Linked DNA regions of Oryctolagus cuniculus. The protein of the gene in region 1 binds, or shares a complex with, the protein of each later gene. Links are inferred from orthologs where the notes say so. Each region holds a gene or a part of one and is shown in the gene's direction. Other genes may lie near its edges.

Evidence for each region. Proteins that work in one complex are often made in the same cells at the same time.
Region 2: the proteins of ZC3H13 (region 1) and WTAP are in contact, whole or in part, in a cryo-EM structure (PDB 7VF2), measured with the Homo sapiens proteins. The link is inferred for Oryctolagus cuniculus from reciprocal best matches to the Homo sapiens genes ZC3H13 and WTAP. Residues at the interface, in NP_001317494.1 of Homo sapiens: Arg1512, Pro1514, Gly1515, Ala1516, Ala1517, Leu1518, Lys1520, Phe1521; in NP_001257460.1 of Homo sapiens: Asp202, Glu203, Asp206, Phe207, Gln210.

What each region holds. Positions count from the first base shown.
Region 1 is NC_091440.1:65,025,718-65,033,028, reverse strand, and holds part of ZC3H13 (zinc finger CCCH domain-containing protein 13), read left to right. Parts: intron 1-1,325; coding exon 1,326-1,489; intron 1,490-7,311. UniProt on the Homo sapiens protein: Associated component of the WMM complex, a complex that mediates N6-methyladenosine (m6A) methylation of RNAs, a modification that plays a role in the efficiency of mRNA splicing and RNA processing.
Region 2 is NC_091436.1:8,284,779-8,292,089, reverse strand, and holds the end of WTAP (pre-mRNA-splicing regulator WTAP), read left to right. Parts: intron 1-3,158; coding exon 3,159-3,313; intron 3,314-5,110; coding exon 5,111-5,694; 3' UTR 5,695-6,326; downstream 6,327-7,311. UniProt on the Homo sapiens protein: Associated component of the WMM complex, a complex that mediates N6-methyladenosine (m6A) methylation of RNAs, a modification that plays a role in the efficiency of mRNA splicing and RNA processing.

The sequences.
Region 1 (7,311 bases):
TTGATAATATGATGTTAAATATGTTTCATATGGAATGGGGCTTGGTTTTGTTTACTGCTGTATCTAGTGTCTAATTATCTATTATTGCTAATTATGCCCTTGCCTAGAACAGTGCCTGACACATAGTAGGCATTCACTAAATATTTATGAAATAATTGATAATGAATTTTCTATTCCATTGGGTTTAGTCCAGTCCTCCATCAGTGAAGAGAGTATACCTCGCCTCTTAAGGATAATTCACAACAACAAGAACTAAGGCTTAAAACAATACACTTAACTGTGTACTAAAACTGAAATTTTTTTCTAGGTTTTCTAATTACAATATAGTTAAGTCCTAGTGAGCTAAACTTTTCTAGTTTTTTTATTCCTTCATTTTACTTGTTCTTGAGTATGTATTTAGTCTGTCTTTGGAGTAATTTTGGTACTGATCAATTTAAAACCATGAAGAGACTTGAAGTTCAGCCATGTTGTACTCTCTAAGGAGGTTTGCAAGTGTGTATTTTGTATCCTTTTAAAACCAGAAGAAGAAAAAAAGATTCCGTAAAAAGAAAGTTAGTCCTAAAGTGCAATTTTCATGGAAGAGCTTATGTTCAAGGCAAATTTCTTCTGTAATTATATATGTAATAAAATAGTATTTGATGCTCTTTTTATTTTTTTGGATAGGTTTTTTTTTTTTAAGATTTTTTTTAATTTGGAAGGCAGTTATAGAGAGAGATGGAGAGAGGAGCAGGGGTAAATGAGTGGGATCTTCCATCTGCTGGCTCACTCCTCAAACGGCCACAATGGCTAAGGCTGGACCAGGTCAAAGCCAAGAGCCTGAAATTACATTCAAGTCTCCCACATGGGTAGTAGTGGCCCAAGCACTTGGGCCATCTTCTGCTGTTTTCCCAGGTGCATTAGCAGGGAGCTAGATTGGAAGTGGAGCAGGCAGGACTTGAAACTGGCACACCTATCTGATGCTGGCGATGTAAGCAGTGACTTGACCTGGTACGCCACGCTGCCCCTGACTTCAGTGATTCTCAACCTGAACTTTACTTCTTGGTCATAGTGCATAATCAATGCCTAAATCCTGTTTCCCAAGTCTACTTTTCTTATATCTTAAACAAATTTAAAATGACTATCACAATTCTTAATTTTGTTTAAGACTAATAATATAACTGAATGGTGAAGGTCCTTCACAGAGGAAATATTGCCTTTAATATGAAATAATTTTCACCATTGTTGCTAACTTTGATAAAGTGTAGACTTTATGCAGTATTCACTTGAATCATTGGTAACATCTTCTATTTTAGGAAAACTTAATGTGTGCTTATGTTTGTTGAAAGATGCAGATAATCTCTTTGAACATGAATTGGGGGCTCTCAACATGGCTGCATTGTTACGAAAAGAAGAAAGAGCAAGTCTCCTTAGTAATCTCGGACCGTGCTGTAAAGCTCTGTGCTTCAGGCGAGACTCTGCCATCCGCAAGCAGCTGGTTAAAAATGAGAAGGTACAGTGATTTCCTTGGAAAACATGTGAAGTGAATAATGTGAATGGCATATTTTCCATTTGATTGCTTTAAAGAATCACAGCCTTACCTGTTTTTATGAGTTTGGTTTACTAGTCTTATACACATGTGAAAAAAAGAGTTCTGTTAAAGTTTGTGATATTTTTATCTTATTTCAATCATATTAATGAATAATTGTTTTAGATAACAGTTACTTGTTAGAAAAAGTCATGCACTTAAAAATGTGTAAAATATTCTATTTCTATGAAATTAATTTGTGAAAAGCTTCTGTAGATAAGTAAACGTTATTAGAAATTTATTTAAGTTGAATATAAAAAGAAACATTTTCTGGAGTTGTGAGGGTAGTGGAGTGTTTTTTTTTTTTTTTTTTTTTTTTTTTTTTTTTTTTTTTTTTTTTTTTTGACAGGCAGAGTGGACATTGAGAGAGAGAGACAGAGAGAAAGGTCTTCCTTTGCCGTTGGTTCACCCTCCAATGGCTGCCGCGGCCGGCGCACCACGCTGATCCGATGGCAGGAGCCAGGTACTTATCCTGGTCTCCCATGGGGTGCAGGGCCCACGCACTTGGGCCATCCTCCACTGCACTCCTTGGCCACAGCAGAGAGCTGGCCTGGAAGAGGGGCAACTGGGACAGAATCCAGCGCCCCGACCAGGACTAGAACCCGGTGTGCCGGCGCCGCAGGCGGAGGATTAGCCTAGTGAGCCACGGCGCCAGGCGATAGTGGAGTTTTTTGAGGGATTTGTTTATTTATTTTTAAAGGCAGAGTTACAGAGAGGGAGATCGTCTATCTGCTGGTTTACTCCACAGATAGCCACAATAGCCAGCGCTGGGCCAGACTGAAGCCAGGAGTTGGGAGCTTCATCTAGGTCTCCTTCTGGCGTGGCAGGGGCCCAAACACTTAGGCTATCATCTGCTGCTTTTCCCAGGCATTTTAGCAGGGAACTGAATCGAAAGTAGAGCAACCAGGACATGAACTGGAGAATGAACCAGCAGGTGGAAGATCTCTTTCTCTCTGTCCTTCTCTCTGTGTCACTCTGCCTCTCAAAAAATAAATTAATCATTATAAAAAAAAAAAAAAAGAAAAAAGAAAACTGATCCTAAAAGGTTAGAAAAACATTAACCTACTAGCTTTTTACTAGAGGCCATTAAGAAAACAGAATTGTCTTTGGATATATAACAATGCTGAAGTAACTGATACTTCATTTATGAAAACTACTCAGATGCAGAGGATTAAATTTATACAAACAAGAAGAATTCATCTCCAAAGATTAAAATGGAAATGGCTATGAGGCATGGGAGACTTATAAAAATATCAAGTCTTAGGTTTATAACCACCAAATCTACCTTGCTCAAAATTACTGATGACAAAATTGCTAAGGTCATCCTCCTTTGCTTCTCTCATTTCATTTGTATTTCTCCTTATTCTGTTGCCTACATACTCATCTCTCCTTACATCCTTTCTCACCTAGACATTTCTCTGAGAGAACTAAGCTCCCAGTATCCTAAACATGTATATAATGAATCACCTTCTCTTTTATGTATCTAGAATCGTTCCAGATATCACCATCCTGACTATTAAATTGAAAAATATTCATTCAAATCATTTTCTGTTTGGTTCATATAAGGAATCTCAGTTGAAAAGGACTGTATAATTTCTAATCTCATAAAAATTCTAACCTCCTTTTTAACAGTAATAGATTATAAAATACCCTGATTCTTCCTCTATTGTACCATGGTGCCCCTTTAAAATTGTGGCAAACAAAAGCACCTTGAAAATTTCTCATTGAGCACCATTGTTCAGAACCTTATAATCCTCCAGTGTAAGTCATAGACCATTAACATTCAGTAAGTTTTAATAGCACATTGTAATGTCTTAAACAATCCATCTGAAGAAAGTACCATAAGCTTTCTGATTATTCTGTTAAAAACATCAGCACAAAAGAGGAAAAAGACACAATTAGGCTGGCGCTGTGGCTCACTTGGTTAATCCTCTGCCTGCGGTGCAGGCACCCCGGGTTCTAGTCCCGGTTGGGGCGCCGGGTACTAGTCCTGGTTGCTCCTCTTTCAGTCCAGCTCTTTGCTGTGGCCCGGGAGGGCAGTGGAGGATGGCCCAAGTGCTTGGGCCCTGCACCCACATGAGAGACCAGGAGAAAGCACCCAGCTCTTAGCTTCGGATAGGTATAGCACTGGCCGTAGCGGCCTTTAGGGGAATGAACCAACAGAAGGAAGACCTTTCTCTCTGTCTGTCTCTCACTGTCTATAACTCTGTCAAAAATAAATAAATAAATAAATAAATAAATAAATAAATAAAGAGAGGACACACACACACTACATAGGAAATCCTCTGAGAAATGCTCTTAGAGGCTACGCATTAAAAAAAAGGATACAATTAAAGAAGAGTAATTTCAGATGCTAGACAGCCTCATGAAATATCCTAGGAAAACCAAATAGAAGCATTTAAGTTATATATGGTTATAAAAGAAAAGTCCAAAAAGGGGTCATGCATTGGGCTAACTGGTAGATTTTTTTTTAAGAGGTTTTTATTTTATTATTTATTTGAGAGGTAGTTACAGACAGTGAGAGAGAGACAAAGAGAAAGGTCTTCCATCCACTGGTTCACTGCTGGAGCTTGACCGATTGGATGCCAGGAGCCAGGAGCTTCCTCCAGGTCTCCCACGCAGGTGCTGGGGCCTAAGCACTTGGGCCCTCCTCTACTGGTTTCCCAGGCCATAGCCGAGAGCTGGATTGGAAGAGGAGCAGCCAGGGCTCAAATCTGTGCCAGATGGGATGCTGGTGCATAGATGGAGGATTAATCTGCACCACAGCACCAGCCCCCTAGACTCTTAGCAAGTGACAAAAAATGGAAAATCATTCAACCTACCCATTGAGATTGTGTCTGTTTAGGAGAATGATTTTTAAATATAGAAACTATAGTCCATATCACAAGAAATAGGTGAAGGATATTAAGAGAACACTTAAAAGCTTTAAATGTGCAAACTAAAAGAAGGCAATTATAAAGAGCAGAAATCAATGAAATTAAAAATAGGGAAACATTAGAGAAAAGTAGTGTCACCAACTGCTGGTTCCTTGAAGAGATAAATAAAATTGAGAACTCCCTAATCAGACTAACCAAAAAAAAAAAAAAAAAAAAACCACAAATTGTGGGAATATCATTACAGATCTCACAAGTAATAAAAAAGAAAATAAGGGGATATGAATAACTTAATAAACATGAATTTGGCTGGCAAGTTAGAAGAAATAGATAAATTCTTCTAAAACCACAGACTACCAAAACTTAATGAGTAAGTAATGAGCAACCTGAAGAGTCATCTCTATTTTTTAAATATAAAACTGTAGTCCCAGGTGATTGCACTGCCAAGATCTACCAAAAAAACATTTAAAGAAAAAATAACACCAATTCTCTGCTATTTCTTCCAGAAAATTAAAGTGGCAGAATCATTTCCCAACTTATTTTATGAGGCCAGAATTGCAAACACCTGACTAGATTTAAACTGGTATCTCTCATGAAACTAGGCATAAAAATGCTCAAAAATGTTAATAAATCAAGTTCAGTGATACATTTTTAGCCTAGGATTAAAGGAATGCCTCAGTATGCTAGAATTATAATCAACCATATTAACAGAAGTAAGAAAGACAAATATATTGATCATATCAATTGATGGAAAAAGCATTTGAGAAAATTCAACGTTCCTTTGTAATAACTCTTAGCAAGCTAGAATTAGAAGAGGTCTTTACAAAGGACATGTACATAAGACCCTCAGCTAACATCTTAGGTAATAATGAAAGTTTGAATGTTTTGTCCCTGAAGTTGGGAACAAGAAAGGATGTCCAGTCTCACTGCCCCTATTCAGCCTCATACTGGAACTTCTAGCCAGTTTGATTAGGCAAGAGAAAGGAATTGCATATATATAGATTGGAATGGAAGAAATAAAACTGTGTGTCTTCTCAGGTGACATGATTGCCTGCATAAAAGGTTTTAAGGAATTTGCCAAAAAATTCCTAGATCTAGTAAGAGTTTAGCAAAGTTACAAAATACAAGGTCAGCCTATAAAAAAAGTAGTTGTATGTTTGTATACCAGCGGTGAGCATCTGGATACTAAAATGTTAGGAAGCAATACTCCAGCTTCCCCACAAATGAAGTACTTAGGTATTAAAGAAACAAGAAAAAGAATCTTGCAAGATCTAGTTGTTGGATACTCAAAACAGTGATGAAAAAAACCAAGGACCTAAATAACTGAAGATTGAGACATCATATTCATGGAGTTGGAGACTCAATATAGTTAAAATTATGCTTCTCCCTCACATAAATCTGCAGAGTTAACACAATTTTTAGTAAAAAACTAAAGAGGATTTTTTTTCTATAGACAAGCTGAATCTAAAATTTGTGTGAGGTCTAAAGGAACTAGCAAAGCCAAAATAATTTTTACAAAAGAAGAATAAAGTTGGAAGATTTGTACTACTCAGTATCAAGACTTACTGCAAAACTATAGTATGTAAGATAGTACAGTGTTAGTAAAGGAGTAGAAATTCAGATGAGTGGAACAGAAAAGGGTCCAGAAGTAGACCCACACAGATACGATCTGTCAACTCAAGGGGTTGGTGTGGGGAGCTATACAAATTGTTTCTTTTAATTAAGTTTTCATTTTGAGATAATTGTTCTTTGTCAAAATTTAAAACATATTCTCTAAAGTATACTGGTAAGGGAATGAAAATACAGGCATAGTAGAAATATTTGAAATTCACATTTTTTTTTAAATTTACTGATTCATTTGTAAGGCAGAGTGACAGAGAGGGAGAGGCAGAGAGCAAGACAGATATGGTTTTTCTACTGGTTCACTCCCCAAACGCCCGTTGCATCCAGGACTGGGCCAAGCCAAAGCCAGGAGACAGGGAACTCCATTCAGGTCTCCCACATGGGTGCAGAAACTCAAATACTTGGGCTTTCTGCGCTGTCTTCCAGGCACATTACCAGGAAGCTGAATCAGGAACAGGCGGGATTCTATCTCAGGCCCTCCATGTGGGATGCAGGCGTTCCAGGCAGTGCCTTAACCTGCTATATCATAATACCTACATACAGATCACATTTTTGAAAAAGGACTTGTAGCTAAAATATTTAAAAATACTCTCAAATTTTAGCAGTAAGAAAACCAGCAGCCCAGTTTTTAAGACTTAAACAGACATTTCACCCAAGGGATACAGCTAATAAGTACATGAAACAAAATGTTTAACATAATACAAATTAAAGCTGCAATGAGATGCCTTTTGTCATTTACCTCAATAGTTAAAATATAAGCAACAGACAAAAAAACTTAACAGTATCAAATGTTTATGAAGATACACACCAATGAAAACTCCTATATTTATTGCTAGTAAGAATGCAAAATAGTAGAGCCACTGTGAAAACTGGTTATTTCTTAAAGTAAAGATGCATACTTACTATATGACCCAACAATTTCCTTACTAGACATTTAACTTAGAAAATAAAAACTAATGCTTATCTAAAAGCCCATGCACAGATGTGTAGAGCAGCTGTATTCTTAATCTCCAAAAACTGAAAACAACTCCAGTGTTCTTCAGCTGCCTAATAAACTGGAATATGAATGCATTTATCAACAAGAAAAAGTAACCAAATTATTAATACTGTTAGTAACAAAAAAAAATCAAAGACATTATGCTGAGTGAAAGAAACTAGTCTCAAAAAGATTGTATACTTATTTAATTGATAGTCTGGTGAAGGTAAAAACATAGTGGAAAACTTACCAGTCATTGCCAAGGGTTAGAAGAG
Region 2 (7,311 bases), on another chromosome or scaffold:
TTTTTTGCTTTTAATTTTTAAAAATTACGTCAAAAACAGTGGCAGTTAAATCATTTTTTGGTGTCGTGTGGGGCACATATTTTACATGACATAGTTAAAGTAAAATTGCAGAATGTTTAAAGAACAGTTTAACAGGTTTTTTTTTTTTTTTTTTTTTTTTTTTGACAGGCAGAGTGGACAGTGAGAGAGAGAGAGACAGAGAGAAAGGTCTTCCTTTGCCGTTGGTTCACCCTCCAATGGCTGCCGTGGCCGGCGCACCACGCTGATCCAAAGGCAGGAGCCAGGTGCTTCTCCTGGTCTCCCATGGGGTGCAGGGCCCAAGCACCTGGGCCATCCTCCACTGCACTCCCTGACCACAGCAGAGAGCTGGCCTGGAAGAGGGGCAACCGGGACTAGAACCCAGTGTGCCGGCACCGCTAGGCGGAGGATTAGCCTATTGAGCCGCGGCGCCGGCCTAGTTTTTTTTTTTTTTTTTTTTTTTTTTTTTTTTTAAGATTTTATTTATTTTATTTGAGAGTTAGAGTTACAGAGAGCGGTAGAGACAGAAAGGTCTTCCTTCCGTTGGTTCACTTCCCAAATGGCTGAAACGGCCAGTGCTGTGCTGATCCGAAGCCAAGAGCCAGGCGCTTCTTCCTGGTCTCCCACATGGGTGCAGGGGCCCAAGGACTTGGTTCATTTTCTACTGCTTTGCCAGCCCATAGCAGGGAGCTGGATTGGAAGTGGAGCAGCTGGGACTAGAACCAGTGTCCATATGGGATGTCAGCACCGCAGGCGGAGGATTAACCTACTGTGCCACGGCACCGGCCCCCAAGAACAGTGGTTTTAGTAAGATTATTTTAATCACTATTTAGCAAGTTATAAGATTTCTTAAAATGGCATTTGTTTATTAAAAGGTATTGATTTTTTGCATTTGTGTTTGGTATTTTTGTAGGGGATTAAATCAGGTCACTAGTTTATATGTTCTATAGTTGTCTATAGGGTTTGTATTTTCTGCTGTAGCTGGAAAAAACTAATGCTGTGTGCCTTGCAAGAAAACAAAGTTGTGGGAGCATAGGTAGTCCAGTGAACAAAGCCCACTGTTTTTGACAAAAGGTGTCTGTCTCTTCATTATTTGACTTCTTCTTGTTAGGTTTTTTTTTTTTTAAAGATTTACTTTATTTATTTGAAAGACAGAGAGGGAGAGGAAGAGAGAAACAGAGATGGAGGTGTCTGTTCACTCCCCAGATGGCAGATGGCCTCAGTAGCTGGGGCTGGGCCAAGCCAAAACCAGTAGCTTCTTCCAGGTCTCCCACCTGGGTGCAGGTACCTGGGCCATCCTGCGCTGCTTTCACAGACTCATTAGCAGGGAGTTGGATCAGAAGTGGAGCAGCCAGGACTTAAATTGGCACCCATATAGGATGCCAGTGTCATAGGCGGCCTGCAGCAGCTTTATTTGCCATGCCACAATGCCAGCCCCCATTGTTTGGCTCCTAAGTGCTTACTCACTGTAGGCCAATCTGAAGATGCTGATGGGGAATCTGGAGCTACAGTAACAAAACAGCAGCTAATGGTTGCCGTAGAAAGGAATAAAACCCTATCATGCACTAACTTGGGGTTCACTTTTTCACAGATTTTTGTAAGGAGACTTAATTACAAGCTTTTTCCTTGAATTATGTTAGAACACACAAGTATAGGTAAAAGAACCTTGTAGTTTGCTTCAAAGAAAGAGAACTATAATTTTTAAAGTTCTAAGGCTTGATAGGATCAGATGGATTCTGCAGTCCTGAATCGGGCACCTGAATGCCATTACAATACAGACAGACTAAAATTTATAAAACATTTTGAGTATTAAGGTCATTCTGGACTTATCCTAATGATGGGAATGTAAAAGTATCCCTATCCCAGTCTCAGACATAATATCAAAATTACTACTTCAAAGTAGAACCCTTTTTATAAAGATTTATTTTATTTGAAAGGCAGAGTTACAGAGAGAGAATGAAATAGAAAGATCTTCCATCTGTTGGTTCGGGTTGGGCCAGGATGAAGCCAGGAACCAAGAACTGCAGTCTGGGTCTCCTGCGTAGGCCTAAGTTCTTGTTTACCTTCTGGTGCTTCCCCAAGCCTGTTAGCTGGGCGCTGGATGGGAAGTGCAATAGGCTGAAACCAATGCTCTTAGGGAATGCTGGCATTGCAGGTGGTGGCTTAACCCAAGGCACTGCTGCGCTGACCCCTAGATCCCAGTAAAAAATGTGATTTCTGCTATTACTGAGGCTGAAGACAAACGGTAGAGTTGTATTAAGAACCTGTCATTTGGGCTTTTCATTACATTCGTGCTGGAGCTACATGTGTGGTTTCTATAGTCTGTTGCACTAGCATTTGGAAACTAGTTTGTTGAAAGTATAGCCTTCCAAATTTGGTGGATATTTTCATGTTTGCCTTGTTTATGATAAGTAGCCCAGGCCTTAGTGTCACAAAGATGATGTTTTGCAGTATCAATAAAATGTTAACCACATACTGATATGGAATGGGGAAAAAAAAACTATGTCCTGCTTGACTGCTCAAAAGCATATAGTACCTAAAGAAGTTAAATAATTGAGGGCTTGATGAGTGGGAAGAGTCTTAAAACTTGAGGCCTCACTTAATATAATAGATAAATTAAGAGGTATGGGAAATAAATGTACAAAGAATACTGTGTTTTTCTCAAAAAATACATTCTTATTCATTTCTAGGTACTGTCTTATATTACGTATTTTAAAGACGTACACACTTGTGATTAGTACCTCATGTACCTTTTCAATAACTTTTTTGTTTAAGAAATCACAACACTTTAGTGTTAATTAATATTGGTATATCCAAGGTGTGTGTTTGTTGCCTGACCTGTTGCTATTTCAGATGATAATGTGAGAAAAATGAATAGATTTCAGAATTGATTATTGAGTAATACAAACAACAAAAAGTCTGGGCATGTTTTATTCAGGATTTATTTTTGCTGCTGGTTGGCAAAGCGCTGCAATGCAGAAGGTGGATGTGTTCGAGCAGCGAAGACGGTAACTGCAGGGCGGCATCAGCTGTGACGTAGTTCTGTTCTGTACCTGGTACATCTATCACTGTTGCGATTGTAAGCGAAGAAGATCATAGTTTTGTCTTCATTTTGTGATGGATGGCTCTTTCCTTTGCAGCCAAACAGGCAAAAAGTTAATGGCGAAGTGTCGAATGCTTATCCAGGAGAATCAAGAGCTTGGAAGGCAGCTGTCCCAGGGGCGTATTGCACAGCTTGAAGCAGAGTTGGCTTTACAGAAGAAATATAGTGAGGAGCTTAAAAGCAGTCAGGATGGTAAGGGTATTTTTTGGAGTTTGCTTAACTTCACACTGGCTTTTTATTAAGCCGCCAGGCATGGCTGTTACGTAGGTTCTGTACATGTTAATCTCTCCCTTATATAAAATTGAGTGAAACATTTCTAGCTGAGTCAACAAATAGACCACATTTAATGATTTTAGCGATTTTCCCCCCACTCACATAATTGTTGTGTAAATTTCCTAAGAAGTTTTGTTTTGAGGGGAATAGGAATTGGTGAGACATAAAAAGCATGTTGTTACTAAAATATACAAATTTAAATTTATATTCAGCACTTGGAAAGGAGGAGTATCTTCAGCCATTTCTCTTTAGGTTTAAAACATCATGGGGACATTTGGCAATTTCCAAATTAAAAGATTTTATGTTCAAATTTGCTGCGGAGTCAAACCAAGCTTGTAGTCTCTCTGCCTTTTTATGCAGGTATACCAGCATCTGTGCTGTTTCTCCTCTGTGCAGATTAATATTAGAACAAAATCCAAACTCACTGGAAGTTTTAGTTGAGAATTAGTGCATCTGATGGCTAATGAGATCAGTAGCCAGGTAATACCTTTTCTCTGTTTTTGAAAGGCAGAGTTAGGAAGAAACGCAGATTTTCCATCCGCTGATTCACTCCCCAAATGGCCACAATGGCTGGGGTTGTGCCAGGCCTAAGCCAAGAGCCCAGAGCCTCCTCCAGATCTCCCACATGAGTGTGGGGGCCCAAGCACTTGGGCTATCCTCTGCTGCTTTCCTGGGAGCATTAGCAAGGAATTGGATCAGAAATGGAGCAGCTGGGTTTTGAACCTGACCCCATATGGGATGCCAGCATCTCAGGCAGGTGTTTACCCAGCTTTGCCAGCACACTGGCCCCTAAAACAGCATTTTGAAAGTGATAGTCCGGGGCTGGTGCTGTGGTGTGGTGGGTGGGGCTGCCATCTGCAGTGCTGGCATCTTGTGTGGGCACCTGTTTGAGTCCCAGCTGCTCTGCTTCTGATCCAGCTCACTGCTGTGGCCTGGGAGGGCGGTGGAGAATGGCCGGGTCCTTGGGCCCCTGCTCCCGCGTAGGGGGCTCAAAGGAGGCTCCTGGCTCCTGGCTTCGGAGTGGGCCAGCAGATGAAAGATCTCCCTTTGCCTCTGCCTCTCTGTGACTTTAGCTTCCAATGAATAAATAGATCTTAAAAAGAAGAAAAGTGATAGCTCTTAGCCTTTGTTATCTGTGAACATGTAAATAGATTGTATAGCAGTGAAGGAGTTTTTTCCAAAGGCCTCTTAGAACTTAGGAACGTGTGCATTTTCATAGTCAACAGGAGTTATGTTCTGAGATTTTTGCTTTCCTCTGTAGCAGAGAACAGTGTTCAGTTAGGGCATAAACTTACTTGGAGTGTTAAGGTAGAAAACCACACTGTCCTAAGGGCCCTACCTGCGTGGAGTGAAGACCCTGGCTAGGAGAGTGAGGAGATAGGAACTGGCTCTGGGGGCCTGCAGGTAATCGTGGGCAGATTTTGGGGGTTGTCACAGTTCTTTATGGTGAGATGGTTTGAATCAACTTAACTTGCTTTGATATGTGTATGTAGAGAGAGACATATTAACAGTATATTCCTTTACGCAGTCTACTCTGAATGAATTCTAATTCTTGAATGGCTATTTTTAAATTCTAGTACATTTTTAAAAAATAGTATTGTGATTTTAAAGTGTATCAGTGGTTAATAAGCACTCGGCAGTGGCCCTGTGGCAGCGCTTAGGAAATGCTGTTCAGTGAGTTCTGAGACTGAAGTGGGTCTGACTCTCTCTGCACAGAACTGAACGACTTCATCATCCAGCTGGACGAGGAGGTGGAGGGCATGCAGAGCACCATCCTCGTGCTGCAGCAGCAGCTGAAGGAGACGCGGCAGCAGCTGGCGCAGTACCAGCAGCAGCAGCCTCAGGCCTCCGCGCCGGGTACCAGCAGGACTGCGTCCTCGGAACCTGCAGAGCAAGGCGAGGCCGCGAGTAAAGACTGCAGTCGGCTGGCCAACGGACCAAGCAACGGCAGCTCCTCCCGGCCGAGGACGTCTGGGTCTGCATTTCACAGGGAGGGGGACGCGACTGAAGATGACTTTGCGTCTTCTCCAGGGAGTGCTAATAAGGCCTCCAGCAGCTCGGAGGAGAGACCCGGCAGAGGAGGTAGTAGTTACGCAAACCAACTCAGTGCGGGGTACGAAAGTGTAGACTCTCCCACGGGCAGTGAAAACTCTCTCACACACCACTCAAATGACACAGACTCCAATCATGACCCTCAAGAGGAGAAAGCAGTGAGTGGGAAAGGTAACCGAACTGTGGGTTCCCGCCACGTCCAGAATGGCTTGGACTCAAGTGTAAGTGTACAGGGTTCAGTTTTGTAATATTTTTCCAGCAAATTTTTATACAGTGTCATTTAATTTGGGAGAGGATACTGTCCAGAAAAGTAATGCATACTTTTGTCACAGTTTGCCTTTTTGTGGGTGTGTGTTGTTTTGTTTTTTTGCTTCAATACCTCTGCCACCTTGGAATTACAGCAGTTAATTACTTTGAATGTTGCTAAAAGGACATTTTTGTGTAGGGTCAAGTTATTTTTATATGAGTTAATGTGAAGTTGTAAATGGAAATCTTTCCTTAAAGTATACCGCGATGATGTCTGTAAATCTGTCTCTAGAACCCAAGCTGTAAGGCATCCTTCCTCCTGCTGTTGCACCATGCAGACGTGTTAGAGTAGATGTGGACCTAGGACTGCCGCGTTGCCCAGTACACTAGTTTTATCACTGAGAGTTGGACTTGCTGATGGAGTCCTGTAGTAGTTTCAGTGTTAGATGCAGTTTTCCCACCACACATCTGTGCATTTTCTCTTTAGGTGACTGAATGTGTAAGAAACGTGTGTGCATAGTTACTCAGTTTTTATGAACTGTTGTATCCTGTTAATGCATATTGCTCTGTGACTCCAGTATATCTTACCTGTACTGACCAAACCTAAATAAAGATTTTTATTGTAACTCCTTTATTGGTTGTCTTGTTGTATTTTGGATGTGTTTGGTAGTCATTTATTTTCCTTGAATTGGCTGAATTTCTGCTCATTATTCTTGAATATATAACAAAGGTGAAACTTAAAGTGTATGCATTGATTTTGATTGTGGACATAATTTTTAATTTTTGCCTTGTACAGTGAAGTCACAGTGTAGGAATTATTTTTTCCCCTGAGTAACAAAGGTAACTGTTATAAAATGCTGGAAAATACATCAAAGACTACAATAAATATCTAAATATTTTAAGTTGTGATCTGATTTCAAGCAATTAGGTTTTCTATACAGTCTGATAATTTTTAAAAAATATTTATTTGAAAGTTACACAGAGAGAGAAGGAGAGGCAGAGAGAGAGAGAGAGAGGTCTTCCATCTGCTGGTTCACTCCCCAATTGGCCGCAATGGCTGGAGCTGGGCCGACGTGAAGCCAGGAGCCAGGTCTCCCATGCGGGTGCAGGGGCCCAAGGACTTGGGCCATCTTCTACTGCCTTCCCAGGCCACAGCAGAGAGCTGGATCGGAAGGGGAGCAGGCAGGACTAGAACCAACACCCATATTGGATGCCAGCACTGTAGGCAGTGGCCCTGATAATTTGTTTTAAAACATTGGCCAGCACGTGTTTGCTAATAGCATACCAGTACCAGGTATTAGAATGTAGGGAAGATGGTTTTAAGGTGTGAGACTGTCAGTGCTCCATTTTTTGCCTCTTGTAACTAATGATCTTGCTCTATGTGATATTGCATGTCTTTAGAATCTGCCTTTCCATATATGGTTAGGATGAAACTTGTTACTTCTGCCAAGAGCAGACTACTCAGCTGGGCTGGGTAGAACCTGTACAGTCAAGCAACTTCAGAGGCGGAGCTATGGTCACAGCTGCTGACCTCTGACGCGGGTATGTCTGATCTCAGTGGTGGATTGAAAGTGCTGCAGTGTTACTGAACTATGCAGTTTGCTCAAGGGACTAAATGT